Linked DNA regions of Lonchura striata. The protein of the gene in region 2 interacts with the protein of the main gene of each other region in a pairwise test. Links are inferred from orthologs where the notes say so. Each region holds a gene or a part of one and is shown on either strand. Other genes may lie near its edges.

The links.
Region 1: the proteins of SGTA (region 2) and TMEM174 interact in binary tests that used the Homo sapiens proteins (3 or more experiments, as listed by UniProt). The two-hybrid records come from large-scale screens. The link is inferred for Lonchura striata from reciprocal best matches to the Homo sapiens genes SGTA and TMEM174.
Region 3: the proteins of SGTA (region 2) and CSF1 interact in binary tests that used the Homo sapiens proteins (3 or more experiments, as listed by UniProt). The two-hybrid records come from large-scale screens. The link is inferred for Lonchura striata from reciprocal best matches to the Homo sapiens genes SGTA and CSF1.
Region 4: the proteins of SGTA (region 2) and TMUB2 interact in binary tests that used the Homo sapiens proteins (3 or more experiments, as listed by UniProt). The two-hybrid records come from large-scale screens. The link is inferred for Lonchura striata from reciprocal best matches to the Homo sapiens genes SGTA and TMUB2.

What each region holds. Positions count from the first base shown.
Region 1 is NC_134642.1:14,863,939-14,871,300, forward strand, and holds TMEM174 (transmembrane protein 174), read right to left. Parts: upstream 2,442-7,362; 5' UTR 2,427-2,441; coding exon 1,801-2,426; intron 620-1,800; coding exon 517-619; downstream 1-516. UniProt on the Homo sapiens protein: Regulator of plasma phosphate homeostasis. Decreases serum inorganic phosphate (Pi) uptake by regulating the sodium-phosphate cotransporter SLC34A1 trafficking by PTH and FGF23 in the kidney.
Region 2 is NC_134630.1:6,150,548-6,158,513, forward strand, and holds the start of SGTA (small glutamine-rich tetratricopeptide repeat-containing protein alpha), read right to left. Parts: upstream 3,007-7,966; 5' UTR 2,941-3,006; intron 2,048-2,940; 5' UTR 1,956-2,047; coding exon 1,856-1,955; intron 1,002-1,855; coding exon 898-1,001; intron 735-897; coding exon 650-734; intron 163-649; coding exon 63-162; intron 1-62. Other genes in the region: THOP1 (thimet oligopeptidase), read left to right, coding at 3,639-3,879, 6,839-6,987. UniProt on the Homo sapiens protein: Co-chaperone that binds misfolded and hydrophobic patches-containing client proteins in the cytosol. Mediates their targeting to the endoplasmic reticulum but also regulates their sorting to the proteasome when targeting fails.
Region 3 is NC_134632.1:1,180,526-1,188,520, forward strand, and holds the start of CSF1 (macrophage colony-stimulating factor 1), read left to right. Parts: upstream 1-4,988; 5' UTR 4,989-5,048; coding exon 5,049-5,069; intron 5,070-6,301; coding exon 6,302-6,430; intron 6,431-7,995. UniProt on the Homo sapiens protein: Cytokine that plays an essential role in the regulation of survival, proliferation and differentiation of hematopoietic precursor cells, especially mononuclear phagocytes, such as macrophages and monocytes.
Region 4 is NC_134627.1:8,667,108-8,673,768, reverse strand, and holds TMUB2 (transmembrane and ubiquitin-like domain-containing protein 2), read right to left. Parts: upstream 2,409-6,661; 5' UTR 2,356-2,408; intron 2,115-2,355; 5' UTR 1,825-2,114; coding exon 1,352-1,824; intron 1,086-1,351; coding exon 716-1,085; 3' UTR 517-715; downstream 1-516. Other genes in the region: ASB16 (ankyrin repeat and SOCS box protein 16), read right to left, coding at 2,905-3,090, 3,171-3,284, 3,355-3,847, 4,614-4,881, 5,158-5,464; HROB (homologous recombination OB-fold protein), read right to left, coding at 5,952-6,025, 6,145-6,337, 6,464-6,568.

The DNA.
Region 1 (7,362 bases), on a different chromosome or scaffold from region 2:
TAGACTGGACTTACTAATGAGTAAGCTCTTCTAAAGAATCAGACAAAATTAAGACATAAAGTGCACTTTCCTGGATCAGACACTTGAGCACTTTTGAACTTTCCCAAGCAATCAAGAATGAAAATACCTCAAGAAAAAATCAAATATTTTCTAAAGATGCTGAATGTCCAGGAGCAACCATGATCGTCCACATACATCTTGTGTGTTCACAGCTCACCCTGGTTTCAGCAAGTCTTATAATCAAGCTTCTTGTTGGGAATCCTAATATGGATTTAGATCCTTTGCTATTAATAGTTTAGCCATTGAATAATTAATAGCTCTGCTATTAAGCTGCATTGCAAAGAGCTAATGAATCTTAACAGAGAAAAAGGAAGGGGGCAATTAAATATCTTCAGTGATCCTGTGTATGAATATCAAGAACTTGCTCACACTGTCTTATCACACAAGTGTTTAAAGAAAAGATTTTTTGGGATTCTTGCTAGCATCTCTTAGGATTATCTGTTGTCCATGATGATCTTATGAAGAAAAAGGGTATATTTCCTCATAACGTGGAGGTGACAAGTTATTACGGGCATAGTCTTCCAGCAGTCCTTCTGGTTCATCAGAACTGTCTTCTGACCTGAAAAGAGGAAGAGGAGCAGATACAAAAAGAATTTACCAAACACAGAGCACTCACCTAACTTCAGTGTTTCATCCTCTCAGCCTTATCTGGGAAAAGTACCCTCCAGCTTATTGAGAAAATGCTATGAGATTAAGTTTACTGAGATTCAGCTGTTTGCTGTTTTTTCATGAAGTTTAGAAGTGTCAGAAGGTGACTTTTGTCTTCACCCTACCTATGCCTGTCACCCATATTGCTGAGGACAATGGGTCAGTCAGCAGGTTTTTTTTAAAAGACTTTGATAAATGAACTAGCAGTGACTTCTGTTGTAGCAAGGATGTAATTATGAGTAATCCCTATAATTAGAATATTTTTCCTTGGAGGAAAGAACTATATAAAATTATTTTGTGTACAATTTGAGCAGCTCCATACTGCTGTGCAACGTGATTGATATTGTTTATGCCTCAAAACTAGGAAAAGAGGAAGAGAGGACTTTGGTTTCCCAAGACAATGTAGGGTTTTACAGCCTCCTACCATGAGGTCTTTACAATGTTTGGTCTCCTGGCCTAACAGAATGCCAGGACTATTATAAGTTATCAGATTTGAGGAATTATAAGCATGCATGCTAATAATACTGAGACTATAAAAGAGTTATATAAAAGGTGTATTAAAAAAAAGACAAAAAAATCATCTTGGGTATCGTACACATAAAGGATGGTGAAAAATTACTCCTCCCCAGTACTCTGGGAAATATTTGACTTAATATCTCCTTACTAATTTCTCCTTATTTTCAATGGCTGTTAATGTTAAACTTAACACCTCTATGTACTTTTGATTATTTACTTCTAGAGTAACCTCCACATTTTTGAATGTAATGGTTGCTTGTAACTGCTCCAGTGTCTCTCCCTAGAAGTGCCTTTGAAGAATTGAGCATATAGAAAGACTTGTGAATACCCCATTGTTTCCCCAATTTATACTTCACTGAAAACCAAAAGGCATTTATAAGTGAATTTAAATTGTATAAAAACACTTTCCAGGAAAAGTATGTTTCCTCATTCAAGAAAAATTCTTAACAAAGACAAAAAAATGTCTGAGAAGGATAATACCCTGGACTAGCCATAGTTTCTTATGAAAACACACACAGTATTTAAAAAATTCAGAAGCCTGTGTCCAAACACACTAAGTCATTTCAGAAGATGTACCTCTGATTCCTGTAATTCTCTGCAGGATAGTAGCTCTCATCTCCTGCAAAAGCCAGGTTATCCAGGGTGTAGGCAGGGCAGAAGTGAGGAGGACCCGAGGCGAGAAGTGGCGAGGCGCTGGGGGGAGCAGCACCGCAGCAGCTGAGCCCTGGGTGAAGGTAGCCGGGACTCCCAGCGGCGCCTTCCTGGGATGGGTACGGCGGAGGGATGTACTGCACCACCGTGGCACCGTGGAAAGTTATAGGCTGGTTAATGCCGGTGAAGACAAAGGACTGTCCACTTGCAGCCTGGTCAAGTTCCGATGTATACTCCTCTCTTTCTTTACAGGGCTTACATGTAAGCATGTTAAATTTACAAACAGCAATCAGAACAAAAGTCACCCCGACAGACAGCAGAATAGGCCCTAGTAACTGAGTCCACTCCAGGTGAGTAATGCCATCATATTTTATCCATCCCATCACAGTGAAAGTGATCCCCACCAGTCCCAAAAACACACCTGAAAAAAGTAGAGTGGTGCCAGCTTTATCCCCATCTGACACCAGGGCATCAGACCTGCTTGGCTGACAAGGAGTGACAGAAAAGACATTCAAGGAGAAATCTTCTACATTGTTGTTGTTTTGCTCCATTACTGAGTATAACGTACCTTCTCCTTCAAGAGAAAGAGGGCTTGTAAAGGACTTGCCAGAGCATTTAAAGTCGAAGGTTCAGGTTAGTTACACAAGAACTTTGTGTGTGTATGGTTAACAGAGTCCATCATGTGAAAGAATAAACTTTGCTTGAAAGAACAAAGGTCTGGGAATTGAAGCCTGAAGCCATCACAAAAGATTTCTTGAATTACTACTATCACTTCCGAAATGGATTCACCCCTGCATGACTGCCTGTCTCCTTGGGCTTCTTCTTTAATTTAGCACTCATGATACTGTGCTCATTCTGGATAGCAGAAAAAGCAAGCTGAAGTTATTGCAGCTTTTCCTTGGCCCCAGCTAGCTGATGTATCCAACATATGGACAGCGTATGTTTAGTCAGCAGCACTGAATAGATCCTTGCTCTCCACTTCCTGCTCAATTTTCTGCAGGAAAATTCCACATGGCCATAGCTAGGAATGCTTTTCCACGCTCTGAAACATTACATTTATAGTCATGCCTGGACCTCTGCTGCAGCTCATTTTGCAGTTTGTGTTTAAAAAAATAGCAAACTACAGTTCCTGGTATTTTTCTCGGGTAACCACTAGGTGAGCAGGAGGGTAAGTGGCAACAGGATGGTGAGCACTGAGAAGCCTGGGAGAACAATTGGCTGTGGGAGAAAACTTTTCAAGAGAGCCAAAGCTTTCCAGCTCGTTGAAGTAGTAAAATTACCCTATAATTTCCCCTTAATTCTGGACATTTTTTGTTGTAGGTTTTAAGGTTTATAGAGAAAATGCCCAAGTACCCTGAATAGCACATCATTGCAGGAATGAGAAAGCATCTCCTGTAATGCTAAACTTGACAGAGTGAGGAATCTTATCCTGTACTCACAGGTACATAGGACACTTCTTCATATCACAATTAATTGTTCTACTGAACTCCTGTCTCATGTATTAAACAGACAGATTATCGAATTTTGAAATTTTCTGTTTCCTAACAGTTTCAGACTAAAGTAATTGCTGCTGGAGGGTTCTGGTAGAATGTCTTCGTGTAATTCCTTAAGGAGGAAACATCTCCAAATACTCTGCCTGTTTTGACTAGCGTGGCAGGGTACTACACACAGGGCATTGATTACTGCTCATGCAGTAGAACACATTATGCTATTTCCTGCTACCAGTAGTTCTGGGGAAGCAAGCTTATCCTGAGATTTGCAAGATTAAAAATAGCTCTAGAAGTAGAAAGTTTACCTTTTAGACTGCTTCTTCAAAGACAGTAAAAGTACCTTTAGTCTACTGTGCATTCACATCACACTGTGTGACAACAGCTCTTTCTTGGAAAGGGTTATTCACCAAAGTCGGCACCTTTAGAACTGATGATGAATGCAATTGCAGATATCTTTCTCATTTTTTTAGCACATAGACTTTGAGGAATATTAATGCTGGTTTCCTTAAAAAAAAGAAAAGCTGTGAAACTTCCAAACGCAGCATTATTAAGTCACCACTGTCACCCAGGGTGTCAACACATTTTCTGACAAATACACTCAAGATCAGCCTTTCCCACAACACTAAGTCTGGTCAGGATTCTCTGCACTTCTTGAGTAAAGGATCAATCTTGCAATGCAGTGGTTTTGTATGATGACAACTCAATTATAAAGTGCTGAAATACTAGATAAAATTTCCTTGCACTGATAATTACTGCCAAAGTTTAAGTCACCTTTAACCTTACATTTGTTAAACTTCATGGAATGAACTGTTACTGCTCTTTACAAGTAAGATTTTTCCATACCATGAATCATCCTTGCCACTGCTGAATCTTTCAGGCTTTCCAACATCCTTTTAAAAGCAATGCTATATTATAATAGCTGTCTAGGTTATAGTTTATACAGATGTAGTGTCACCTTGCTCCTTTCATTCATTCAAGAACTCTGCAACTACTATTTGCAATGGGATCATGCTGGAGCACTTCCTCAATCCCATTGAATGGTTCTTAGATACTGTCTGGAATCAGAATTTTCCAAGTTGGGTGTTGTGTTATCCCACAGCTGTCTCTTTTCCTCTCGTCTAGGACATGACTTCATGATTGTTGAGCAAGTGCATAGTAGAGATGAAGAACACAGGATTCTTTTTTCATTTCCAAACTTACATGCCACTTGAACTTTTAAAATAGGATTGAAGATACTCTCCATTTGGTGTGCTAGGATCTACATCAAAATTACTCCTTTCCCTGTAAACTGTCCTTTCTCTGTAAGCCAGTTTCTTCTATGCATCTCCATATTTCTCCAATTATTTGTCCAGAGAATGGTAATGCTGCAGTCAGGGAGCTGTCAAGGTTAAGAGATTATGGGATCACACTGATTTTTTTTAAGACCAGTGCTTTTCTTTGTAAGTTAGTGTGTGTTCTGGGGACTCACTTTAAAAAGTCAATTCACTAAATACATCCCTTTTACTTGGTATCACTCTTAAGCAAAAGAATTTTGTGAAACCAAGAAAAATTGGAGTATGGTTTTTCAAAATGAATACTGTTTTCAGATCTCAATATAGTTTTGTTCTCATCTGCTTCAGACCTTACCCTTCAACACAAGCACTGCTTTGCTCTCTGTTCCTCCACCTAATTTTGTATTACCACTGCAAACTTCCCCTGCAGTGATTGCTGGTGGAAGCAGGTGCTCTGTTCTCTAACCCATTTGAAGAGTCATCCTAGTGAACACTGACAGGCTATCACTTATCCCTTTTTTCTTCTCCTTATGTCACCTATTTTTACACAGTTGTTCACATTATCAGCCCCTTGTAGGAAGGTTTTATTTTCTTACATGCCAATTATATAAGCAGGGACTTAGTCAAAGAACATGCAAAAAAAGCTGCATAACACACAGTATTGCACATTGATTAGCTTTAAAATGAGTAAGTACAAATTACCACTCCATAATTTAGGGAGATTAAGGACAGTGGTTCGAGTTAGTGGGACCTTTTCATAGAGAAAAGTAACTGCACATGGTGTCTTTAGTGGAAAATATGAATTACATGTGTAAGAGCAGTACATGAAGAACCACTCTGAGTGGGCCTTTCACCCCTGAACTACTGCACTGCCATCCTCAAAGCACAAATAAATAGTGAGGAGCAGATTCAGCCAGCTGCCCACAATTGCACTTACCAGCAAGATGACTTTATTTTCTCCAGAAAATGCTGTCCTGTGAGTAAGGACACCAAAATGAAGGTTTTACCATGCCTAATTGTTGAGATGCATGCATGGGTGATAGAGGGGGTTGCACTGAAGTCTGGCATGTTCGCTGCAGAAAAGTGGAGATATTGTCACTACAAGTCATGATTCTGTAGAGACAGGATGGAAGTGGGATAAATGAATACAGCAACACAAACCACAAAGGGGAAAGATGGTGTGGGTGCAATCACACCCTTGCGATAGCAAATGCTGCCATCACAAAAACACAGCAACATCGCAAAGACCTGTGCAATCTCAGTTTTTCAAATGAGTTAACTGTTCATTCTTTTAGCTGCTGTTGATGTAGGACGAAAGACTTTTCCTAAAGACATTCATTTATGTTTGTGTGACTCCCTCTCAAATGCAAAGGATTGCAGTGTTGCAGTTAGAAGTAGAGCAATGTCAGTGCAGGCAGCAAGGAAGAAAGACTTTAACTTCAGTTAGAGAGGGCAAGCAATCCTTACCTCCCACTTTGCCTGTTTAAGTAAGTGTGAATCAGTAACCACCTTGACTTGCTCACTAGCATTTGTATGTCAAACACTTAAGCTAACCTTAGGGTAGAAAGAGGGTTATAGCACCATTAGTGGGACAGTAAAGTATCTCACTTCCTCAATAAAAATGCTATTCCGTATTATTTTAAGCTACTTTTATAGTTTTACAAGGTGTTGCTTCCTTTCTAATACAGACATTTCACTCCTACTCCCCGCATAAAAAATTCCTCCCTCTACTGCCATTCACCCAGTGGTAGCCTTCAGTGGTGAGGGCAGACTTGCTAGCCTCTTACTCACATTTTCTGACCTTGCTGCAACAGATTTCAACAGTTGGCAAACACTGATGCACTGGCTGTGTTAACTACTTCAGTGCTGAGCAGTCTGCAGAGAGGCACCAGCACATCTACTGAGTTTTCAAGTAATGATTTTCTAAAGTCAAAAGTAAAAGATGCTTATACAGCTGTAAACTGATCTATTTCCTAAGCATCTTCTCAAAATCCTAGAGAGATAAATTCAGTTTTCAATCCTTGTTTTCAGGGGTAACATCCAGCCTTCTCAGGAAACTCAGATGCTGAGTCTGAAGCCACTTTCTGAACCATAGTTTCTGTAAAGATTGCTTTTTTAAAAGTAAAGTGATCTGTACTGAAGACTCTGCAGTAGATGTTCCAAATACAGTAACCTTGAAGGAAAACAAGATTATGTCTGTTACAGAGAACTCAGATACGGCAACATATTTTGCTTGATTTGTCTGGTCTCTTGGGTACATCTTGGGAACAACTGACTGAGCAAATTGAAGGCAGAAGAAGAGCTTGATACTTTTTCAGTTTACCACCAGAGGTAACTGATTTTTTTTTAAGATGGTGAAATTTTTCCAGATTTATGAAAACATGTTTTGATATTTAGCCTTTTCAGAAAATGAGTGTTCTGAACAACAGGATAAAGCTAACATGTTGCATGGGATCTTTCCAGTAAAATACCCCAGCTTCTGTTCTTGTTATATGATAGAAGGATAAATTGAGAGAGAAACAAGCACCTTAGACATGTGCAAAGCTTTGTACACACAAATCATGTACAGTAGTGAGTCCCACTGTTTAAACAGTAGGAGAAAAAACTTGAAAAAATAATCAGAGAGATGGCAAATTATAGCTTGTGTTGCAGATTGCATGTAAGGAGAAACATCCTTGAAAAACTCACTCTGTAAAAAATGTTTGAGAAAAAAGGACAAAATCCCT
Region 2 (7,966 bases):
AATTTGGGGCATTCCAGAGCCTGGGATCCCAGCAGGGAGCAGCTGGGGGAGCTGCTCAGTACCTGTTGCAGAAATAAACGGCGTTGGCTGGGTTTAACTCGATGGCTTTTCCATAAAAAGACACGGCAGCCTCGAAGTTTTCTGCCTTCATTTGGTCGTTTCCTGAAAGGAGGGTGGGAAAGGATGGAAAAGAACTGGGATAAACCAAAGCAAAGGCCTGGATCCATGGAAATAGCACAGGGGAGAGGTTTGTCAGCGTGGGGCAGGTCCAGCTGCGAGGCTGTGCTGGAAATTCCAGCATTCCTGATGCTGCATCCCAAAAAAAATCACCCCAGCTGCTGGCTCAGGGGGGAAGTGCTGCATCCACACTCATCCCACTTTTTCCCAGGAAAAAGCCACGCACAGAGCAGGAGGGATGGATGCTCTGCTCCACACCCCACAGGGTTTTTGGGATAAAAATCCCACTGCTCCAACATCCCTGGCAGCAAAATCTCCCCACACTTCTGCAAACCAAACGGAGCAAGAGGCAGAAATCGAAAACATTTTGTTTTTCCCCTCCATTCCAAGCATTCCTCAGGTGCCAGGGAATTGAGATCCCCTCCCAATTAGCACCAAACCCTCGTTATCCAGCAGCTCCAGGGCTTGGTACCTTCAGTCTTGAGTCTTTCAGCTTCAGCCACATCATCTTCCGAGGGAGTGACGGGCTCCGAGTTCGTTCTGGAGTGTTCCGGCTCCTTCCAAGGAGAGAGGGAGAAGCTGAGCTGAGCATTCCCACAATTCCCATTTTTCCAGCCCAAAACGTTCCCCTCCCACACGGAGCTCCTGAGGAGAGCAGCAGCCTCCAGGAAAATCCAGCAGAGCTTAAGGAAAAGGGAACGTTCCAGGGCACTCACTCACCTTCCCTACCACAGCTTCAAATATTTCGGGGAGGGTCTGGGACACAGCCAGGCTTTGGTCTTCCATGGAGACCCCAAAGGCTGTTTCCAGGCACTGGATGGCCACTGGATAAGGAGAATCAGGTCATTAATTAATAAACATTCATCCCTCTCCCTCATCTCTCAAAAAAACCAGGAAAAACCCCACCACTTTCCCCACGCCAGATGGGATTTTTGGGCTGTACCCTCAGATTTTGGTAAAACTCAGAGCTGGGCAAAGCTTCCCTCTGGATATCCTGGATGGAGCCAACCCCAGTTCCCATCCCGAGGGATTCCTGCTGGGGCTGCAGCAGCATTCCCACTGCTGGGAATGTGGGAATGGCCCAGAATTCCAGGGAGAGACCCAGACATTCCCCTGGCTCTGGGAGCCACCTCCTCCCTCCTCAGGCTCGGGAAGCTGCTCCCAGGGAAAGGAGAGCCTCCTGCCACATTCCACATCCCAAAATATCCCGCTCCCAGCACCCCACAGCCACGCTCCTTTCACCAGGACAAACCCACAAACCAAGGACTAAACCTTAAGCTCCTTAGGGAGATCCTTTTAAGATCCCTGTCCTTTGGAAGGGCCTGGAAAAACCCTGAGGGATTTTTGGGGAGCAGAAGAGGAGAAACAAGGCCAGGAGCACAAAAAGCTTCCCTGGAGCTGGGGAATTCCCACCTCCCACCCCACGGAATGCTCAGCATCTAGGATGAACCCTCTGAGTCTCCAAGCAGGGATCAGGGAGGCTTCTGTCCCCAGCTAAGCTGCTCTTGGAAGAGATCAGAAGCCACATGAACCACCAGCACCCCTGGATAAATCCCCAAAAAAGGAAAAATCAACTCCGAAATCCCAGCGAGGTTCAGCACCGGCAGCAGCCCAGCCAAGGGTAGAAAACAGGGAGACAACGGCGAAAATTCTCCCAAATTTTGGGAGATGCACCCACCTTCCAAACTCTCCTGAGCGTCTGGAGACATGCTCCCGTTCTGGAGCTGGGTGTGCAGGAACTGGATGATGGAGAAGGCCAGACGCTTCTGGTCTGCCATGCTGGGAGAGAAGGGCTGCGAGGGGCCGGGCTCCTCCTCCTCCTCCTCCTCCTGGTGTCCCAAAAAATTCCTGCAGAGGCTCCAAGGCTGGGCTGGAGCGGGGAAAGGCAAACAGGGGTTTGCTGCTGCTGTGCCTCGGAGGAGGCCAGGATGGATTTGGGGGGATGAGGGAGCTGCCCTGTCCTCTCGGTCAGGGAAGAACTCCAGAACTTTCCTGATATTCCTTAGGAATTCTCCTGGCCTGGATTCAACCCAGAGGGTTGAAACCCTGGGAGCACTGAGGAGCTCACCAGGAAAAATTCCCAATTTTCTTGCTCCTGAAAGCAGAGCCAAGAGCGGGAGGGATTTGGTAGCCCCTGGTAGCCAGGGCTGTCCTGGCGGGGAAAAGGGAAAGAAATCCCAAAATCCCAAAGCACAGAGAGCCCAAAAATTCCCGAGGCTGGGAATTCCAGTGATCCCGGGGCAGCGAAAGCGAGCCCCGGACCTTAAGTGGGTTTGTAGCACAGCCAGGATCGTTTAAGCGAGGAACGAGCTCCGTTTCACCGGAGTCCCACGGACCCGAGCGGAACCAGAAGCCCCGGGAGCAGCCCCGGGCCCGGTTGGGTTCCCGTTCCCCGACCCGGGATCTCCCGTTCCCCGGCTGGGATCCCGTTCCCCGACCCGGGATCTCCCGTTCCCCGACCCGGGATCTCCCGTTCCCCGACCCGGGAGCAGCCCCGGGCCCGGCTGGGATCCCGTTCCCCGACCCGGGAGCTCCCGTTCCCCGACAGCACGGCCCAGCACCGGAGGGTCCCGGCGGGGGCCCAGCCCCGGTGCCCCCGGTGCCCCGGTTCCCCATCCCAGTCCCGGTGCCCTCCGGTGCCGCTGCCCGCAGGCGGAGCAGGACGGCGGCTGCGGCGGGCAGCACAGCACGGCCCGGCACCGGAGGGTCCCGGCGGGAGCTCAGCCCCGGTCCCGGTGCCGGTCCCGGTTCCCCCGCGCTCACCGGACACTCGCCTGGGCCGGGCGCGCTCCCGCACTGCGCATGCGCCGCGCCCGCCGCCCCGCCCTCCCCGGTGCACCGGAATGGGCGTGGCCTGGCGCGGAAGCCCCGCCCCCAGCGGGACCATAGAGATGCCGGCGTTGCCACGGCAACGCGCGGGGGCGTTGCCATGGGAACGGGCGGGCGGGACCCGGGGATGCTCCGCGCCCGCCCCGCGCCCGCTCCCGGCCGGCCCGGAGGGTCGCGGCGGGGATGAGCCGCCCCCGCCGCCCGGCCCCGGTGCGGCGCGGGCGCGGCGGGAGCGGCCCGGTCCTCCAGGCTCCCAGCATGCCCCGCTCTCCCGCCCGCCTCTCCGGTCGGGGCACATGCTCGGTGCGTGGGGCCGGCCCGGTTTCCTCCCGGCCTCGTCAGCAGCGCGGGGCCTCCCGGTACCCCCGGCACCCCCGACATGGCCCCGCCGACAGGTACCGGCGGGATGGGGGCACCGGGGAGAGCGGTGAGGGGAGAGGGATGGGGCGGCAGCACCGGGCCGGGGCCGGTCCCCCGGGCCGGCCGGGGTCTCCTCTCCCCGCGGGTCACCTCTGTGGCCCCGTCCCCGAGCAGCCGGCGGGGCACGGAGTCGGGTTTCGGGACCGGGAGGGGCGAGGAGCGCCCGCTCGGCGATCCCGCCGCCGATTCCCGGCGGCCGGGCTCTGCCCGGAATGCTCCCCCCGAGCTGTCGCCGCCGCTGTCCCGCAGGGAATGTCGTGGACGGCCAGGCCCCGCGGCCCGTGGCCAGCCAGCTGCGCTGGGACCTGACGGCCGAGCAGATCGAGGCCATGGCCGCCGAGCTGACCGAGAGCACCAAGCTGGTGTACGACCGCGTGGGAGCCCAGGAGCGCGGGGAGGTCTCCTACGAGAACACGCTGAAGGCTCTGGCGGACGTGGAGGTGGAGTACACAGGTGGGATCAGGCTGGAGGGGACTGCTCCTGCTGGAACAGGGTGGGATTGGGCTGGGGGAGCTGTTCCTGCTGGAGGAGGGTGGGATTGGGCTGGGGGAGCTGTTCCTGCTGGAAGAGGGTGGGATTGGGCTGGGGGAGCTGTTCCTGCTGGAAGAGGGTGGGATGCACAGGTGGGATCTGTGGGATCAGGCTGGAGGGGGCTGTTCCTGCTGGAGGAGGGTGGGATTGGGCTGGGGGAGCTGTTCCTGCCGGCAAAGGGTGGGATACACAGGTGGGATCTGTGGGATTGGGCTGGGGGAGCTGTTCCTGCCGGCAAAGGGTGGGATACACAGGTGGCATTGGTGGGATCGGGCTGGGGGAGCTGTTCCTGCTGGCACAGGATGGGATGCACAGGTAGGATCTGTGGGATTAGTGGGATCGGGCTGGGGGAGCTGTTCCTGCTGGAAGAGGGTGGGATGCACAGGTGGGATCTGTGGAATCAGGCTGGAGGGAGCTGTTCCTGCTGGCACAGGATGGGATTGCTGGGATTGGGCTGGAGGAAGTTGTTCCTACTGGAAGAGGGTGGGATACACAGTAGGATCAATGGGATTAGGCTGGAGGGGGCTGTTCCTGCTGGCACAGGGTGGGATTGGTAGGATTGGGCTGGGGGATCTGTTTCTGCCAGTAGAGGGTGGGATCAGTGGGATTAGTGGGATCAGGCTGGAAGGAGCTGTCCCTGCTGGAAGAGGGTGGGATACAAAGGTGGAATACACAGGTGGGATCAGTGGGATTAGGCTGGAGGGGGCTGTTCCTGCTGGCAAAGGGTGGGATACACAGGTAGGATCTGTGGGATTAGTGGGATTGGGCTGGAGGGAGCTGTTCCTGCTGGAAGAGGGTGGGATACACAGGTGGGATCAGTGGGATCAGACTGGAGGGGGCTGTTCCTGCTGGCAAAGGGTGGGATTGGGGCTGGGATAGCTGTTCCTGCTGGCAGAAGGTGGGATACACAGGTGGCATTGGTGGGATTGGGTTGAGGGAGCTGTTCCTGCTGGAAGAGGGTGGGGTACAAAGGTGGGATCTGTGGGATTGGGCTGGAAGGAGCTGTTTCTGCTGGCACAGGATGGGATGCACAGGTAGGATCTGTGGGATTGGTGGGATTGGGTTGAGGGAGCTGTTCCTGCTGGCACAGGGTGGGATGCACAGGTGGGATCTGTGGGATTAGTGGGATTGGGCTGGGGGAGCTGTTCCTGCTGGAAGAGGGTGGGGTACAAAGGTGAGATCTGTGGGATTGGGCTGGAAGGAGCTGTTCCTGCTGGCACAGGATGGGATGCACAGGTGGGATACACCTTCCTCTTCCCGGGAAGGCGGGAGGTTCTCGGCTTGCCCAGAGCGGCTGTGCCTGCCCCATCCCTGGGAAGGTCCAAGGCCAGCTTGGGATAGTGGGAGATGTCCCTGCCCATAGCAGGGCTGAGCTTTGAGAGACTTTCCAACCCATTCTACGATTATTAGGATTTTTGGATTTTTTTTTTTTAGCTCTGTGCTGTCACCTGCTTTTCTCTCCCCGTGGCTGCCAGCAGAATGTTGGTTTTATTCCCAGTTAATGTTTACACAACCAGGAGCCAGCACAAAGAGCAGATTTGGAAAAGCAAATTAACCCAAGGCCAGCAGGAGCAGCCATGTCCCCAAAGCTGTCCCAGCTTTCCCGTGTCACCAGTGGGAGCAGAGAAAAGATCCCAAAAACTCTCACTTCCTTCCTCAATTTTCCCTGGGACAGTGGACAAATGTCTCTCCATGTGCCTTGTTTGCTGCTGGAATTTTTTGGGAGAGTCAATCCTGCTGGGATTTTTTGGGAGACTCAGTCCTGCTGGGATATTTTGGGAGAATCAGTCCCATTAGGATTTTTTGGGAGGATAAATCCTGCAGGGACTTTTTGGGAAAATCAATCCTGCTAGGATTTTTTGGGAGATTCAATCCCGCTGTGATTTTTTTGGGAGAATCAATCCTGCTGGGATTTTTTTTGGAAAATCAATCCTGCTGGCATTTTTTTGGGAGGATAATCCTGCTGGCATTTTTTGGGAGATTCAATCCTGCTGTGATTTTTTTTGGGAGAATCAATCCCGCTGGCATTTTTTTAGGGGTGGGGAGTACCACGACGTGATGGCACCAAAACTGTGCTCTTCTGGTGGCTTTCTGGATGATTATTTGCAGCAGGGTGACAATTCTGTGGCCCCTCCTCGTGACACCTGGGCTGCTCCCTGTGCTCGAGCTGCCCCACCTGTCTGGGGCCGGGAGCAGCCTCGTCCTCCTCCTCTCCCAGTTCTTTTTTCCCTAAAATAATTGGGGAAAAAGCATAATTCCTTTTGCTCAGCAGGAGGAATGTGCACCTCAGCACGGCTGTCAGCACTTCCCTGCCTGAGCTGCCTGTTCAGCTTCTGCTGGGGGCAGAATCCAGGTGCCTGGAGAGCACCTGGAGTGCTGCTCTTGGAGCTTTTTGCAGGGATAACAGCAGGGAATGTTCTCCTTGCCTTCCCACGTGGAATTGCGTCAGGACAGGGCGCACCTGGGGCATGGTGGCTTTTTTGGGAAGTGTCTGCGGGAAGGGATTGTCCCACTTTGAGCTTTAAAGGAGGCAGGGAATGCTGCTGCCATCAGGAATCGTGGAATTCCTCCAGCTGCAAAGGAGCATCGAGTCCAACTCCTGGCCCTGCACAGGCCTCCCCAAACCTCCCGTGCTGCCACAGCTGGGGCAGAGCTGTTGGGGGCTCACAGGCACAGAATTCCCGTGGATTTTGGGAGGATTGTGGCGGGAATCCAGCAGGGTGGATGTGCTGGGCAGCAGGGAAGGCACCAAAGGGAGCAGGAGCCACATCCCACCTCCCTCCCCTGCAGCGTGGTGGAAAAGGCTCTGGGGCTGCCAGCCTGGCTCCGGGCGTGTGCTGGGACGTGGAGCCACCATCCCTGTCCCCTTTTCTCCTGCCAGTCCGTAGGAACATGCTGGATTTCCCCCAGCACGTGTCCCCCTGCAAGGCCACCCGCGCCGCCAGCACCGAGGCCGACAAGAAGCTCTCGGAGTTCGACGTGGAGATGAGCATGAGGCAGGACGTGTACCAGAGGATTGTGTGGCTCCAGGTACGTCCTCTGCCACCTGCAACCCCCTGGAATTCCAGCAGATCCTTCTGCCTCATCCCAGAGCTGAGAAGGGAACGATGCAGGAGTGGGGTGTGGGCACGGCAGAGGGAGGGGTGGGAAATTTGGGATTGAGGGCTCTGCCTCCACTCAGAGCCTTGATCCCCTCTTTGCTGAGGGGCTTTTGGGAAATCCAACCCATCTCAGTGGTGATCCCCCTCCAAAATGCTGATGGGGCACAAAGGTGACGTGTTTAAAGCAGCCTGGTGTCGGAATCTGTGGTATTGATGATTCTGAGATTGTAAAAGTCTCTGTCTTTCAAAGAATCAGCCATAATTGGTCTGTGCTGGTTTCCAGGTTGTTTATTCTGTTTATCTCTCACATGTTCTGCTGCCCTGCCCAGCTCTGTCCTGCAGGGCAGCGTGTGGGGCTCTGCCCTCAGTGGGATGTTACAAACATTAAATACCAGAAACTCCCTGGGCTGCATTTACAAGAACGTGCCAATATCTGTCACCTACGTTGGACAGTGTGTGCCCAGCCTGAACCAACAGAAAAATGCCAACACCACAGTGAGACATGGAGGGCATGAAGAAGGAGAAAAAGGACAAGGCACACCCAATTTCCTCCATCTTGTCCCCTTTGGACCCCTCATCTAGAATCCTAAAATTTTACTTTTGCACCCGTGCCACACTTAATTGTTACTTATATCAAACCCTCAGAGCTGGTAATTCATCCTGTCCGCAGGATGTAAGATTGAAAACTCTTTTCCATGGCCAGAGATCACAGCCAGTGTCTCTGGGGGCTCTGTCCAGGGGGTTCCTGACCCCTGCCAGGGTCCCAGGGCAGCCAGAGGGAAACTCTGCATTTCCACAGTTGGGAGGAACCCATGTCCTGAGGTGACACAGGAACCTCTGCACCAAACCAGAGCCTTCCCTGGAGCTTTTCCATCTGCTGGTGTTCCCAGAACTCCCACTGGGAAGCA
Region 3 (7,995 bases), on a different chromosome or scaffold from region 2:
TTTGGTCCCTCGGACACGTGCTGAGGTCAGGGGCAGTGTTGAGTGTCCATCACACGGTCTGAGGGCATCCCAGGAAGGGTTTGGCACGTTTGGATGTCACCTTGCTCCTGGCCATGGTGACAGGAAGCACCAGGCGGTGCTGAGGCCTGCCTGCCCTGGGGCATTCCCAAGCTGTTTTCCAAGCTGCCCCCGCTTGTGCCCAGCTGCTCCTGGCACAGCCCTGCAGCCCCAGCCATGGGTCAGGACTGTCCTGGCTGAGCCGGAGGGTGCCAGGGCTGCCCCCACACTGCGCTGTGCCGTGAGCTCGGGGGATGCCCAGCAGGAACGGGACACGCTGGGCGCTGTGGCCCTGCAGCAGCCTCCTACAGGGTGTGCTGGGGATGCTGGGGAGAGCATGAGCACAGGGACATTGCCCCGGGGTGGGCATCGTCCTCTTGCCACCCTGAAACCACAGCTGGTGACACCTCCTACCTCCCCCAGGCTCTGTGGGTGCCCGTGGGCAGCTGCCTGGGAAGGTTTTTGGCTCTGGCCCTGCCACATTCCTTGGTGGAGGGAGGAGTGGAGCTGGAGCCTGACACGACTCAGCCACAGCCACCAGGACTGGGGACACGCCGGTGACCCGCGCGGGGCTGTCACCTGCCTTTTGTCCCTTGTCACCACCTGGCATCCCCCCTGGCACGGACACCCCTCCCTGACCCCGGGGCTGGGCTTTATCTGTGCCCAAGGACCCCCGAGCACGCGCTGGGGTGGTGGGAGGTCTCTGTGGTGGGGAGCCCGGGTCATGGTAACTCTGAGGAGGGACGGCCCCAGCCTGACCCTGCGGCTCCCTGGCTCCCGGCCCGGCTGAACTCCCTGCCCAGGGCTCTGCTCCCATGGGTGCTGCCCCTGCGGCCAGGGGCTGCTGCTGGGGCAAGCCTGAGATCCCCCCGCTGCTGGGAGCTGGGTGGGATGTCCCAGTGTCCCCTAGGGTGTCCCAGTGTCCCTTAGGGTGTTCCTGTGTCCCTTAGGGTGTTCCTGTGTCCCCTAGGATGTTCCTGTGTCCCCTAGGATGTTCCTGTGCCCCTTAGAGTGTTCCTGTGCCCCTTAGAGTGTTCCTGTGTCCCCTAGGGTGTCCCAGTGTCCCTTAGGGTGTTCCTGTGTCCCTTAGGGTGTTCCTATGTCCCCTAGGATGTTCCTGTGTCCCCTAGGTTGTTCCTGTGCCCTTTAGAGTGTTCCTGTGTCCTTTAGGATGTTCCTGTGTCCCCTAGGGTGTCCCAGTGTCCCCTAGGGTGTTCCTGTGCCCCTTAGAATGTTCCTGTGCCCCTTAGAGTGTTCCTGTGTCCCCTAGGGTGTCCCAGTGTCCCTTAGGGTGTTCCTGTGTCCCTTAGGGTGTTCCTGTGCCCCTTAGAGTGTTCCTGTGTCCCCTAGGATGTTCCTGTGCCCCTTAGAGTGTTCCTGTGTCCCCTAGGATGTCCCAGTATCCCCTGGGATGTTTCTGTGTCCCCTAGGATGTCCCTGTGTCCCTTAGGGTGTTCCTGTGTCCCTTAGGGTGTCCCAGTGTCCCCTAGAGCGTCCCAGTGTCCCCGTGTGGAGGGCTGGAGGAGGGGAAGTGGGAGATTTGCTGCGGGATGAAGGCTCCAGCCCCATCACGGCATCCTGAGTCCCCCCTGCTGGCAGCGGGCTGGGGGGACGTGCCTTCCAACCCACATTCCTCCGCTCCTGAAGGAACTGTCCCGGGACCTTCCCACGGGGATTTCCAGCCCGGGCACACATCGCTGCAGCCTGGATTGTGCCGGTGGGATCCTGGCTCAGCTGCAGCACCAGGAGGCTGTGGGACAGCATCCTGGCCTGGCCCTGCGCTGAATCACCGGGAAGGAACTGATTAAGACCTTGCAACACTTTCGTGCTGGAAATAACTTTCTCCAGAGAGGCAGCCCGAGGCTGGCTCTAGGATGCAGCTGGAGGGATTGGATATGCCACAGGTTTTAGCCCTGCTTTGGGGCTCGTTGGCTGGAAAAAGCTTCCCGAAATGAGGGGTTGGTTGGGATGTGCTCTCACTCCCATGGGGAGGTGGGAAGAGAGGGAATTGAGGTCCAGGGAAGCTCCAGCCTTGGCCACGGTGGAGATGTGGCTGCATGGGGGTGGTGCTGGTGTCTGCTCCAGACCCTTTGGAACAGGGACCATCCTGCCCCCTTGCTCCAGCCCTGCATCCTTCCGTGCTGGGCAGCAGCCGTGGGCACCCTGGGGTGCCCAGGAAGCCCTCCAGCCTCCTCCCACCTTTCCCCCTTGGCTGACAGTGGCTCTGGGGGGAGAGGAGCAACTCCTGCACAGCACCAGCGTGGTGACAGTGCCATTGGTCCCAGTTTGCCACTGGGAGAGGGACAACCACCCTAAATTTTGCCTCCCCGGTTTTTCTGGCTACAGTGTGCACACGGAGCTGCTGCCACCTCTGCCACCAGCCCCATTTCTGCCCCGTGACTCAGGGATTTCGGCAGGTTTGGGAAGGGAGGAGGGGCAAAAGCCACTTCCCTGCCAAAAACAAAAGAGGCGGATGCTGCTCTCGCCCTGTGTCAGGCATGAGGCAGATTAATATTAACCCGTCCCTCCATCCTGCCGTCCCTCTGTCCTGCCCTCCTTCTGCCCCTGGCCCGCTGCCCCACAGCTTGTCCCATGACCCAGCATATGACACTTTTCCTGTCCCTTCAAAGCAGAGGGCAATGAGTGTGCGGGACATGAGCAGCCCGTGGCCTCAGCCGGTGTGAAAGGGCCTCATGTGCTGCCACGGGGTCCCCGTGAGTCACCCCTGGTGCTGGCGTCACCCGCCGTGTCCCCGGCGTCCACCCCGGTGTCCTCCCAGCGCGGGGGCTGCGAGGCTCCCAGAATAGCTTGTGATGAAAAATGTCTCAGCGTTTTGGGGAGAAAGGGGTTATTTTGGGAGGACAGCTGATTTCTAAACCTGATTTCTACTCCTTCCCCAGCCTGTCACCCTCAGCACCCTCAGATGTTTATCTGCTGCTGTTGCTAAGGGACACTGAGGGTGACAAGAGCTGGGGCACCCATGTGCTGGTGCAAATCTGACGCTATCTTGGGGCTGTCACTGCTGTCCCCAACTCCAGCTGCTTCCCAACTCTTCCCCGTCTCTTCCAGCAGATCACTGATCCCAACCCATCACTACTGGAATGAGCTCTCAGCTCCAGGAAAACCCCTCAGCAGCTTCTGCAAGCCCAGCAGGGTTTCCGGCCCTGGGGAGCAGATCCCGCTGGCCCCTCGGAAGCTCGGATGTGGTGGCTGTCACCCACACTTGGCCCCATTGTCACCATCCCCTCTTGCAGCCACATGCCAGTGTTTGTGGAGCAGTTTGCTTTCGGTTTCCTGTCAGAATGCCGAGTGCTTGGCACCGCCGTGGATCACCTCGTGGCCACTAATCACTTCCAGTCGCCTGGAAAGCAAACAGGCAGCGGAGAGGAAAATCCCATGTTGCATGGCTGTGCTGGGCCCGGATCCAGCCCCTCACAGATCCCTGTGCACGGATCTGCACCTGTGCACATGGATCTGCTTGTGCACATGGGGACCCTCTGTGCACAAATAGACCATTCATGCACACGGGGATCCATCCATGCACACGTGGATCCATCCATGCACACGGGGATCCATCCATGCACACGTGGATCCATCCATGCACACGGGGATCCATCCATGCACACGTGGATCCATCCATGCCCATGGGAATCCATCCATGCACACATGGATCCATCCATGCACACATGGATCCATCCATGCCCATGGGAATCCATCCATGCACACGTGGATCCATCCATGCACACATGGATCCATCCATGCCCATGGGGAACCATCAATGCACACGTGGATCCATCCATGCCCATGGGGATCCATCCATACACACGTGGATCCATCCATGCACACGTGGATCCATCCATGCCCATGGGGATCCATCCATGCAAACATGGATCTCTCCATGCAAACATGGGTCTCTCCATGCATGTGTGGACCCATCCATGCCCCTGGATGTGTCTGTGCTCATGTGAACCCATCCATGCACACGGATTTGTCCATGTTCATGCAGATCTATCATGCACACGTATGCAGACATCTGTCCGTGCACATCCCTACCAGTGCATCTGCTTGTGCACGTACAGGTCCATCTGTGCAGATGGATCTGCCTGTGCACACGTGGGCTGATCAATGCTCATGGATCTGTCCATGCACATCCTTGCTGATGCATCCATCCCTGCATGCTCTGATGGGTGTCCATCATATGTGTGTCTGTGTGTGTGTGTGTGTGCCCAGGGATGAGCAAGCACACACGTGCAAGGCCCAGAGCTCTGTGCGTGCTCTGAGGGGTGTCCCTGCACATCCAGGGGGGTTGTGTTTATGTTCACACGGATAAAAGTGCCCAGGGGTGACCATACACACACACGGGGGTGTGAGCACACGTGCACGTTCCGAGGGGTCCCCGCGTGTGCACAGTTGTGTGTGTGCGTACACACACGTGCCAGGCTCAGGGCTGTGCGTGTGCCCGTGGCTACCGGCGCCCGGGGTGCCCGTGGCCACGCAGGGGTGGTGTCTGTCCGTGGCGCATCCACGCAGAGGTGTGCGTGCGCCCAGGTGAGCACACACGCGTGTGTTTGCGATAACGGGGGCTCACACACACGGGCCGAGCCGTGCCGAGCCGGTTCCGGGAAAGCCGAGCCGATCCCATCGCAACCGAGCGGCTCCAGCCCAACCCGAACGGCGCCGCTTCGACCCCAGCGGCGGCGAGTCCGAGCGACTGAACGGCCCCAGCGGTTCCGATGGGACCTGAGCGGTTCTGCCCGGAGCCGAGCCGTGCACACGGGAGCCGGCAGTGCCGCTCGGTGCCCTGCCGGTGCTGGCCCGGGCCGGGCCCCGCGGGGCCTGGCCGCCCGCCAGGGCTTTCTCATAAACCACATGCTGCCGCGGCGCTATAAAGGGGAGCGCGGCCGCGGCGGCGGCTCAGCCCGGCCCCGCTCGGCCCCGCCGCCGCTGCCGCCTCGCCCGCTCCGCCCGGCCCCGGTCCCACGGCAGCCCCCATGCCCCGCCTCGGAGCCAAGGTACGGCGGCCCCTCCCGCTCCCCGCGGCCGCGGAGACCCCCCCCAGCCCGGCGCCCGCCGCCACCTGTGCGGGGCCCCCGCGGGAGCGGCGGCCCCGCGTGTCCCCGTGCCCCGCGGTGGGTCCCGTCCCCCGGGGGTCCCGGCTCCCGCCGGGGGATGCTCCAGCCCCGCCTCGCTTGGCCGCGGCAGCCCCGCACCCGCGGGGTGAAGCCGCGGCTCCGGCCCCGGTTCCCGGTTCCCGGTTCCCGCCTCCAGCCCCGTTACGATTCCCAAACCGGGCGTGGGGAGGCCCCGGCCGGTCCCCGGCCCCAGCCCCGTCCCCGGCGGGGCGATGCTGCAGCCCCGGCTCCATTCCCGGACCTGCGCGATGAGGCGCCAGCCCCCGGCGCGGTTCCAGCCCCGGAGCCGCGGGGTGAAGCCCCGTCCCGGTCACCGACTCCAGCCCCGTTCCCGGCTCCAGCCCCGTCCCCAGCCCGTTCCCGGCGGGGTGAGGCTCCGTTCAGCCGTGACCACATCTCGGCGGTGGCCCGGGCGGCATCTTGGAGTTTCACAAGAGGGGAGGATTCCTGGATATCATCCAAGGGAAATTCCCCCCCACTCATCACCCAGGCACCCTGTCCCCTGCCGGTGCCCCGGGAGAGGGGTGCACACCCACCCGAGGGTCCCCTCCGCCCCCACCTCGGGAGTCTTGGCTCTGGATCAAGCCCCGTTTCTCACCGGGGTCCCGCCACGGATCGGGGCCTCCCCGCTTCTTTGCAGGGGGATTGGGAGGGAAATTTGGGACGAGGCCAGAGCTGCTGCATGGAAAGAGCCCGGCGGGTGCAGCTGGGGGGGTCTGGAGGGTGGGAAGAGGATTTTTTGGGGATGGGTGGGTCAGTGTGTCAGATGGGCTCTGGAGAGCCAGGGCGGAGGAGGAGATTTGCAGGAGAGACGGAGAAATGGTTCGGGAGAGGGGAGAGGGGCTGGATCGGGAATGTGGAGGTGGCCAAGGGCCACATTCAGGCGTGTGTCACCGGGCCTTGGGAAATTCCCTGCTGACCTGGAGCTCCTAAAAATAGCAGGATGGGGATAGGCACGGGGTTGGAGGAGCACAGTGGGATTATCCTGCTGGACCGTGGCCAAGTGCCGGCTCCCACAGAGGTGGTCATGCCGGGGGGTGGTGGAGATTGGCAGGGGGCTTGGCATGTGTGTGGCTTATCCCTGCTTCAAACTCTTCCTGTGCCGTGCTCAGGTGTGCCTGCTCCGCTGCTCCCTGCTGTCGTCCCTCCTCCTCCTGCTGCTCCGCATCCATGAGACGGAGCAGAACAGCTACTGCCAGCAGATCATCACAGAGAGGCACCTGGCCGAGCTGGAGGAGCTGGTGAGTGCCCTTCCGGGGCTGTGCCGTGGGATGGGGGCTCATGTGGCGCCAGATGGGCACAAAGCAGCTCTGTTTTAGTGCTGAAATAAGGAAATGGGGCGATCTTCAGCTCCCCTAGTGAAGTGACGGCACCCGGGAGCTGAGCATCCATGGGCACAAGGGACAAGTGGGCACCGCGGAGTGACAGATGTCGTGCCTTTATCAAGGGTGGCTATGGAAAAGTGACGACAGGAGGAGCGAGAGAAGGCGGCAGCAGGAGCGAGGCCGGGAAGGGGACAGGACTGAGGCTGGATGGGCGCAGGGCCGCTGGGGAAGCAGCGGAGGGGCGGCTCTGCGGGCTGTGGTGCTTTCCGGGCGGCCGCGCAGGGGTTAAGCAGAGGAATCCGGCTGCATTCCTGAGTCCAGCTGCTTGCCTGGAAGCTGGGCTGGCAACGGGGCTGTGGGTGGGTGGCAGGCGGCGAGGGGGGCCCGGCCGGCCGGTGGAGCCGACCGGGCTGGGCGATGGGGCCGTCGTCCCGTGTGGCCCGTGGGCAGCTCCGGGCGCCGGCGGCCGCCCCGCGGCACGGCCAGCCCCGGCCCGGCGGACACAGCTGCCGGGGCCGTATCTCTCTCTTCGTGGCCCTTGGCTCACCTCCGAGCGGGGAATCACGCGGATGTTCAGGGGAGAAGCGGGAATCGGGGGCACGCAGGGATTTGCAGGGTTGTCGCAGATTAAATTCTGCCTGCAGCAAGAGGGGTGTGCGGGCGAGAGACGGGAGCGGCGCCTCCGAGTCCCCGGGAGCTCCGCTCGGTGCAAACCGCCGCGTCCGGGCTCGCTTCACCTCTTCCTCTTTAACCACCGAGCTGCGGGGCCGGGAGCCGCTCTGGGCGAGCTCGGCTTCCTCTGCCCGAGCCCTCTCTGCACAACGCATCCCCCGAGGGATTAAAATTGGGTGCGCGGCTGTGGGAGGGAGGGAACGGAGCAGGTTTGAATGGACGATGTGGTTTTCCTGCTGGGGATTGCAGCCCTCTCCTCGCTGATGGAGGAGCTGGCCCTCGCTCCAGCGCCTGCAGGATAATGGAGCAATTGTTTCCGGGACGGCATCCCAGGCTAGGAGGAGAAATGCCGGCCGGCAATTCTGCCAGCCCTCGCCCTCCCAGCCGGGGATGCCAGCCCGGAGGGAGAGCGTTTGCTTAGGGTGGGTTTTTCCTCCCACTGGGGAGGGTGGTGGCGTGGGCGGCCGGCAGCGCTGCGGGTGGGACCCCGGCGTTGTGTGATCCCGGAGAACGTGTGACCCCGGTGTCACGGCCACCTCCTGCACGGCAGGATGCTCTTTTGCAGCCTGGATTTAGAGGAGAGAGTGATGCGGGGGAGACCCGAGGAGAATTAAGCGGGGCTGGGCTCCGCTGTGGCGCTGGCAGGAAGAGGAGGAGGAGGAGGAGGAGGAAGAGAGGCGGGGTGGGAGCAGGCAGGGAAAGGCAGGAGAAGGTCTGTGAATTGGGGAGTACAACATCCTGATGGGAGCAGGAATCCTGAGCTTACTCCTGCCACTGCATCAACCGTAGGGATGTGCCTGTGTGAGGAG
Region 4 (6,661 bases), on a different chromosome or scaffold from region 2:
TCGTGTGCCCCGGGGCCCCAGGACGGAGCTGTGGGCACCCAAAAACACGGGGGACCACCCCAGACTGCCTGGGGGGGCATGGCGAGCTGGGGCTGTGGGGGAAAGGCATCCTGAGCCCCTTCAGCTGCAGGAGAGGCACTGCGATTTGGGGTCCAAGGGGTGCAGTGGGGCTTGGGGGGGTCAGACCGTGCCCTGTGACCCCCCCAGGTCGGTGTCCTTGCCCCCCCCGGTGTTTCTGCGCGTCCCCCCCGCAGGGGAACTGAGCCCTTGTGAGGTCTGTGTGTCCCGTGAGTGGGTTGTGGCTGCCCCTGTAAATAAAACTGCATCTTGACTTGGTATCCCTGGCATTAATTACAGCTCGTTAATTAAACAGGGCCTTTACCCCTCCCACCTCCATCTCCACCCACTCCATTCAGCACGGGGCGGGGGGGGGGGGAGCCGGATTTGTTTTTATAAGACCCAGAAGTGTGGGTGGGTAGGAGAGCAGCTCCCAGGGCAGGAAGGCGACCACTGGGGTGACTTGACACCCTTTATTTGCATTAAAAAGTCCTTGGGAAGAAGCCACGGCCCGTTCCAGTGCTGTCCAGCTCCCCCAGAGCTGGGGCTGGGGACCGGCAGTGGAGTCTGGGGGGGGCACAGCCCCTTTTTGGGGGGCAAAGTCCGGCAGCGAGGCTGGGACCCAGCGCGGGGACGGAGGCCGCGGTGCCGCCCCGGCTCACCCCGCCTGCCCGTACAGCCCGAAGGCCAGGAGGGTGACCAGCACGGTGACACCGATCAGCGACACGGTGGCCGGGGCCGTGAAGAGCTGCCGGTAGTTGATGCGGAAATACCAGCCCAGCGCCAGCACCACCATCACCGTGGGCACCATCAGCGTGCCCCCGGCCAGCGGCAGCCCCGGGGCCGCGGGGCCGGCGGGGCCGGGCTCGGGCAGGGCGGCGGTGGCCGCGGTGGTCCCCCGGGAGCGGTGGCAGTGGATGACACAGTTGTCGGTGATGCGGAGCGAGCGCAGCGTGCGCGCCTGGTCCTGCAGCAGCTGCCCGCGGTAGATGAGCTTCATCTGGGCCTCCTGGCCCGGGAAGCATTTGCTGCGGGAGGAGGGAGGAGGGTGGGGGCGGCGGAGACCCCGGACCCGCCCGGGGAGGGACCCGCCCGGGCTGGGAGCCCCTCCGTTAAACGGGGAGGGTTCACCACGGCACCGCCACCGCCGCCTCTTTCGAACTTGCTGTCTCAAAGCCCACACCCCCCGGTATTTTTGGCACATCGGGAGGGATGAACGCCCTCCCCCGTCCCGTGGGAAGCGGCTGTTCGCAGCGGGGGCCCGGCAGCGCTCCCCGCGTCCCCCGGCCCTCACCTCTTGAGAACCCCCACGGTGTCCTCGGGCCGGGCCACCGCCACCTCCTCGGTGTCGTTGAGGAACTTGAGGCGGATCTTGATGAGGCCGGGGCACGCGTCACCGGTGCCCCCGGGCTCAGCGGCGCCCCGGGACAAGCCGGGCGCGTCCAGCAGCTGCTCCAGGCCGGGCTCGGGGCCGCTCCCGCTGTCCCCCGGTGCCGCCGCCCCTTCCTCCTCCGTTTTCTCCTCCGCGCCCGCGGGGCTCCTGGGGGGCTCCGGGGCCTCGGCCGCCCCCGCGGGCCCCGCGTAGGGCGGCAGCGGCCCGAGGCGGATGACGGCCGCGTCCCCGGTGCCCAGGAGCTGGCTGCCGCCCTCGGCCACGTACGTGGACAGCCAGGCCAGCACCAGCGCCAGCACCAGCACGGCCACCCCGGCCACCAGCGTCACCTCGTCCCCCACCCCCACGATGAGGGGGGCGGCCGGGGGCTCCATCTCCGCGATGCCCGCCTCGACCTCCCGGTGCCCGGTGTGAGCGAGCGGCGCGGCGGCAGCGGGGACCCCCGGGGCTGCCCCGGTGCCACCTTCGGGCTCACAACAGACCCTGGGGCCGCTCCCGGTACCCGGAGACCGCAGGGACGGGAGCTCCTCGCTGCGGATTGTCCTCCTCGCTCCCGAGACACCGAACCGGCGGCGCTGCGCTCACCTCACCGGGCCCGGCGGAGAGTCCCGGGGGTGCCCCAGCCCCTCGGTGCCCAGCGGGGCAGGGTCAGGCCATCCCCGACCTGGACGGAGCAGAGCGATGCGGTCAGCGGGGCCCGGGCATGGCGGGGCGGGAGGAACCGGGGACGTCCCGACCCGTGCCCGGGGCTCCCGGTGTGTCCCTGCCGGTCCCCGTGATTCCCGGGGGTGCCGGTGCGTGCCCGCCATGCCCGGCCATCCCGGGGGGTGCCGGTGTGTCCCTGCCAGCCCCGCGGTCCCGGGTGTCCCCGCGGTCCCGGGGGTCCCGGTGCCCCCCCCACTCACCGCCTCCCGCCGCCGCCGCCCCGCCGGAAGCGCCACGTCACCGCGCGCCGCCGCCAGGGGGCGGCCGGGGGCGGCGGGCGCGCCCCGGGGGCGGGGCCAGAGGGGCGGGGCCAGCGGAACGCGCCCCGAGTGGGCGGGGCCAGCGGAACGCGCCCCGAGTGGGCGGGGCCGGCGTGGGCGGGGCCACTTGGGGCGGAGTCACCGGCGGGGCGGGGCCCGGGAGCACCGTGGGAACCCCGGGCTGAGCCCCCCCGGGACCGGAACCCCCCGGACCCCCCGGCCCGGCTGTAACCCCCGCCACGGCCCCCACATCCTCCGGGGCCCGTCTGTCCCCCCCCTGCCACCCAAGGGCTCTGTCCCCTCCTCCCCCGTCCCCACTGCAGGTGACGCTGCCCCGCTGGTCCCACGGGGACAAGGACACCTCGGGAGCCACCTCTGCCATGTCCTTTACTGACAGCAGGGCACGGGGAGGACACAGGCAGCGGACACTCGTGGGGAGCAAGGAGGGCACGCAAGAAGGGGGCAGCGGCGGGGACACATGGAGTGCCCTCAGGAGATGAGACCCTCGATGGGCAGCTGGAGGTAGCGGCGCAGTGCGGGTGGCAGCGCCAGCTCGGGGACAGCGGCGCGACAGCGGGCGCCCAGGTGGCGCCGGATGGCCACGCGGGCCAGGTGCTGCAGCCGCCGCGGCCGCCCCGCCATGCGCACGGCCGAGGCGTAGAACTCCCGGTGCTCCTGCGTGGGGGGACACGGGAGGGCTCGGTGCGCCGGGATGGGACACGGGCACGGCCCGGGACCCCCCAGGACCCCGTTACCTCCCAGAGCTCGGGGGGCACGGCCTCCGCCCAGCCGTCGGCGGGGGGCACGCGGTCGTAGGCGTTGAGCATCACCTCCAGCGCCGGCGGGTGCTGGCAGCACAGCCTGAGCATCTGCCAGCAGAGCCGTGTCACCGGGGTGACCCCCCCGGCACCCCGAGTCCCCCGTCACCCCGTGCCCCACCTTGGGGTGCGCGGGGAGGGCGCCGTGGTCCAGCAGCAGGGCCAGGATCTCCTCGGGCCGCTGCTCCCGGTACTCGGGCACGGCGCGGAGGGCGCAGTCCATGGGGGTGTCCCCGGCGCCGTTGGGCACGGCGGCGTCGGCGCCGTGGCGCAGCAGCAGCCGGGCCAGCGCGGCGTGCCCGTTGGCACAGGCGTTGTGCAGCGGCGTGTGGCCCTTGCGGCCCGCGGCCCCGGCCCGGGCGCCGGCCGCCAGCAGCCGCTCGGCCACGCGCAGGAACCGCTCGGCGTCCTCGGGGCGCTCGGCCGCCGCCGCCGCCGCGTTCAGCGGGGTCTCGCCCTGCTGGGTGCGCCGCTCGGGGTCGGCGCCGTGGTGCAGGTACAGCTCCACGTGGGCCGGCAGCCCGTGGCGCGCCGCCACGTGCAGCGCCGTCACCTGCCGGTCGCGCGTGCCCAGGTTCACCCGCGCGCCGTGCGCCAGCAGCAGCTCCGCGCACCTGGAGCGCGTGGGAACGGTGAGCGGGCGCGGCGGGGACACGCGGCACCCGTGGGACGCGACCGGGACGTGCCAGGGAGACGTGATTGCAGTGGGACACCCGCAGGGACACCCCCAGGGACACCCCGGGAAAGCCTGGAGTCACCTGGGAACCATGGGACACCCTCAGGGACACCCCCAGGGACACTCCGGGAAAGCCTGGAGTCACCTGGGAACCATGGGACACCCTCAGGGACACCCCGGGAAAGCCTGGAGTCACCTGGGAACCATGGGACACCCTCAGGGACACCCCCAGGGACACCCCGGGAAAGCCTGGAGTCACCTGGGAACCATGGGACACCCCCAGGGACACCCCGGGAAAGCCTGGAGTCATCTGTGACCTGTGGGACACGGCCAGTGACACCCTGGAGTGACCTGTCACCCATGGGATACCCCCAGGGACACCCCGGGAAAGCCTGGAGTCACCTGGGAACCATGGGACACCCTCAGGGACACCCCCAGGGACACCCAGTGACACCCTGGAGTGACCTGTCACCCACGGGACGCTGCCATGGGCACCCTGGAGTGACCTGTCACCCACAGGACACCCCCAGGCACCCCCCAGGACACCCCCCAGGCCCCTGGCTCCCAGGTTGCGTGGGTGGGGCAGGAGTGAGGATCTCACGGGCCCCTCCTGCAGTGAGCCCGCCCTGGCTGCAGGTGAGACCCCACAGGTGAGACCCTGCAGGTGAGACCCCACAGGTGAGACCCCGCAGGTGAGCCCGCACCTGAGGCTGTGGGGCGCGGTGCAGAGGTGCAGCGGGGCCGAGCCGTCGGCGCTCAGCACGTTGGGGTCGGCTCCGAAGGCCAGCAGCAGGCGGGCGCAGTTGGGGTGGGGGGCGGCCGCGCTGTCGTGCAGGGGGGCCCGGCCCCCCACCACGGCGTCCACGGCCGCCCCGCGGAGCAGCAGGTGCCGGGCGCAGGCCTCGTAGCCGCGGGCGGCGGCGATGCGCAGGGCCGAGGTGTGCTCCCGGCGGGGGCTCAGCACCCACAGCCCTGCGGGGGTCAGCGGGGGCTGCCGGACAGCCCGCACCCCGCTGGACCCCCCTCACCCACACCCACCCACCCTGGAGCTGGCGGGAGCAGTGGGGCGCCCATGGGGCTGCCCCGAGCACCCGCCCTGCCCCAGACTCCCTGTCACCCACAAACCGGAGCAGCCAGCCCCGCTCCCCCCGGAGCTGCACCCCCTTTTCCTGCCCCCCACTCGTTCTGCAGGGGAACGGGGGGGAGGGAGAAGCAGGGAAGGACCCCCAGCCCCATGGCCGGCCGTACCCTGCTCCGGTGACCACACCAGCTCCTCGCTGACCATCTCCAACACCAGATTGGCGCTGGCCTCGTCCCTGAAGATGCTCTGGACGCGGGGCAGGTCCCCGGCGTAGAGGGCGTTGTGCACGGCGGGGTCCCGGCAGAGCTGGCGCCGCCGCGGGGGGCTCGGGGGGGCGCGGGGGGTCCCGGGCAGGGGGCGCGAGGCCGGTGCCCGGGCCAGCGCCCGGCGGCGATCCTCCCGCTCCAGCAGCTCCCGCTGCAGCCGCAGCGAGCGCAGCGCCGAGGGGCTGAAGGCGAAGCTCTCGTGGGCCATGGGCACCCGGCAGGGCAGGGCGGGGGGCTCGGGGCACAGCTCGGGGATATAAATAGGGCCGTGCCCCACAGGCGGGTGTGCAATCGAATCCCAGAGCCAGGGGATTATAAATAACTCCTGGTGGTAAACAGAGTCACGGGGTGCAGGGCAGCTTAAACTGTTGGTGGGCGCGAGGTGGGGACGTCCCACGGGGAGGGACCTGGGGATCCCTGGTCCTGCAGGGCTGTGAGAGCCTGGGGAGACGGCTCCTCACACCCGGAGGAGCAGGGACCCCGGGAAGGAACAGGGGTGACACACGAGGACACAGGTGATGCAGAAACCAAAGAGCCCTTTAATGCAGGTTTGGGGGCCCGGAGCAGCGCCGAGGCCTCGGGGTGCCCCGGCTCTCGGCCCCACAGCAAACACCACGGACACGCAGGGAGCAGCAGGGGGGTGCCAGCCGTGCCACCTGCTCCTGGCACCGCCACCCTCAGCAGAGCTGCTGGGCTCAGCCGCAGTCAACCCGAGCCGGGGCTGAGAAGAAATCCTCGGGCAGCTCTCCCAGGAGCCCGTCCAGGTCATCTGCAGGCACAGAGGATGTCACTCGTGTGTGTGTGTGACCGTGGCACTGCTCAGGGGCCAGGCCCGGCTTTCCCCAGGCCGGAGAGCTTCTCCTCCCCTCCAGGGTGGCTCCGACTCACCCAGGTCACATCCATCCGTTCCCACCGGTCCTTCCCAGCCGGGATCAGAGCTCGCTGGGCGCAGGGAGGAGCCCCCGGGACGCTGCTCCGCGCTGGGTCCGCCTGTCCTCGGCTGTCCCCGGTGCTCGGGAGCAGGGACAGCCCGGGTGGGCCGTGCCGGGGGCTCTGGGCTCAGCTCAGCCAGGCCAGGGACCTGCAAAACCCAGCGGGGATGGATTCCTGGGGGATTTACCCAGCCCCCCCTTCTCTCGAGGGTCCCCAGAACCCAGACCCCCCTGGGGTCCCAGCAGCCCCCCAGGGCCGCCGGTGCCCCCCTGACCTGGCGGGGGGAGCAGCCCTCGGGCTCGGGTGGGAAGATCCGGAGGAGGTTGTTGGGGGTCACGTTGAGGTAGTGGTTGCGGTGGGAGGGGGAGAAGACCCCGACCTGCGGAGAGGGCAGACACAGCTCCTGGATAAACCCCCAAGGTACAGGTCCCCATTCATGGAAATCTCAGGATGAGGGGTGACATTTTAGGAA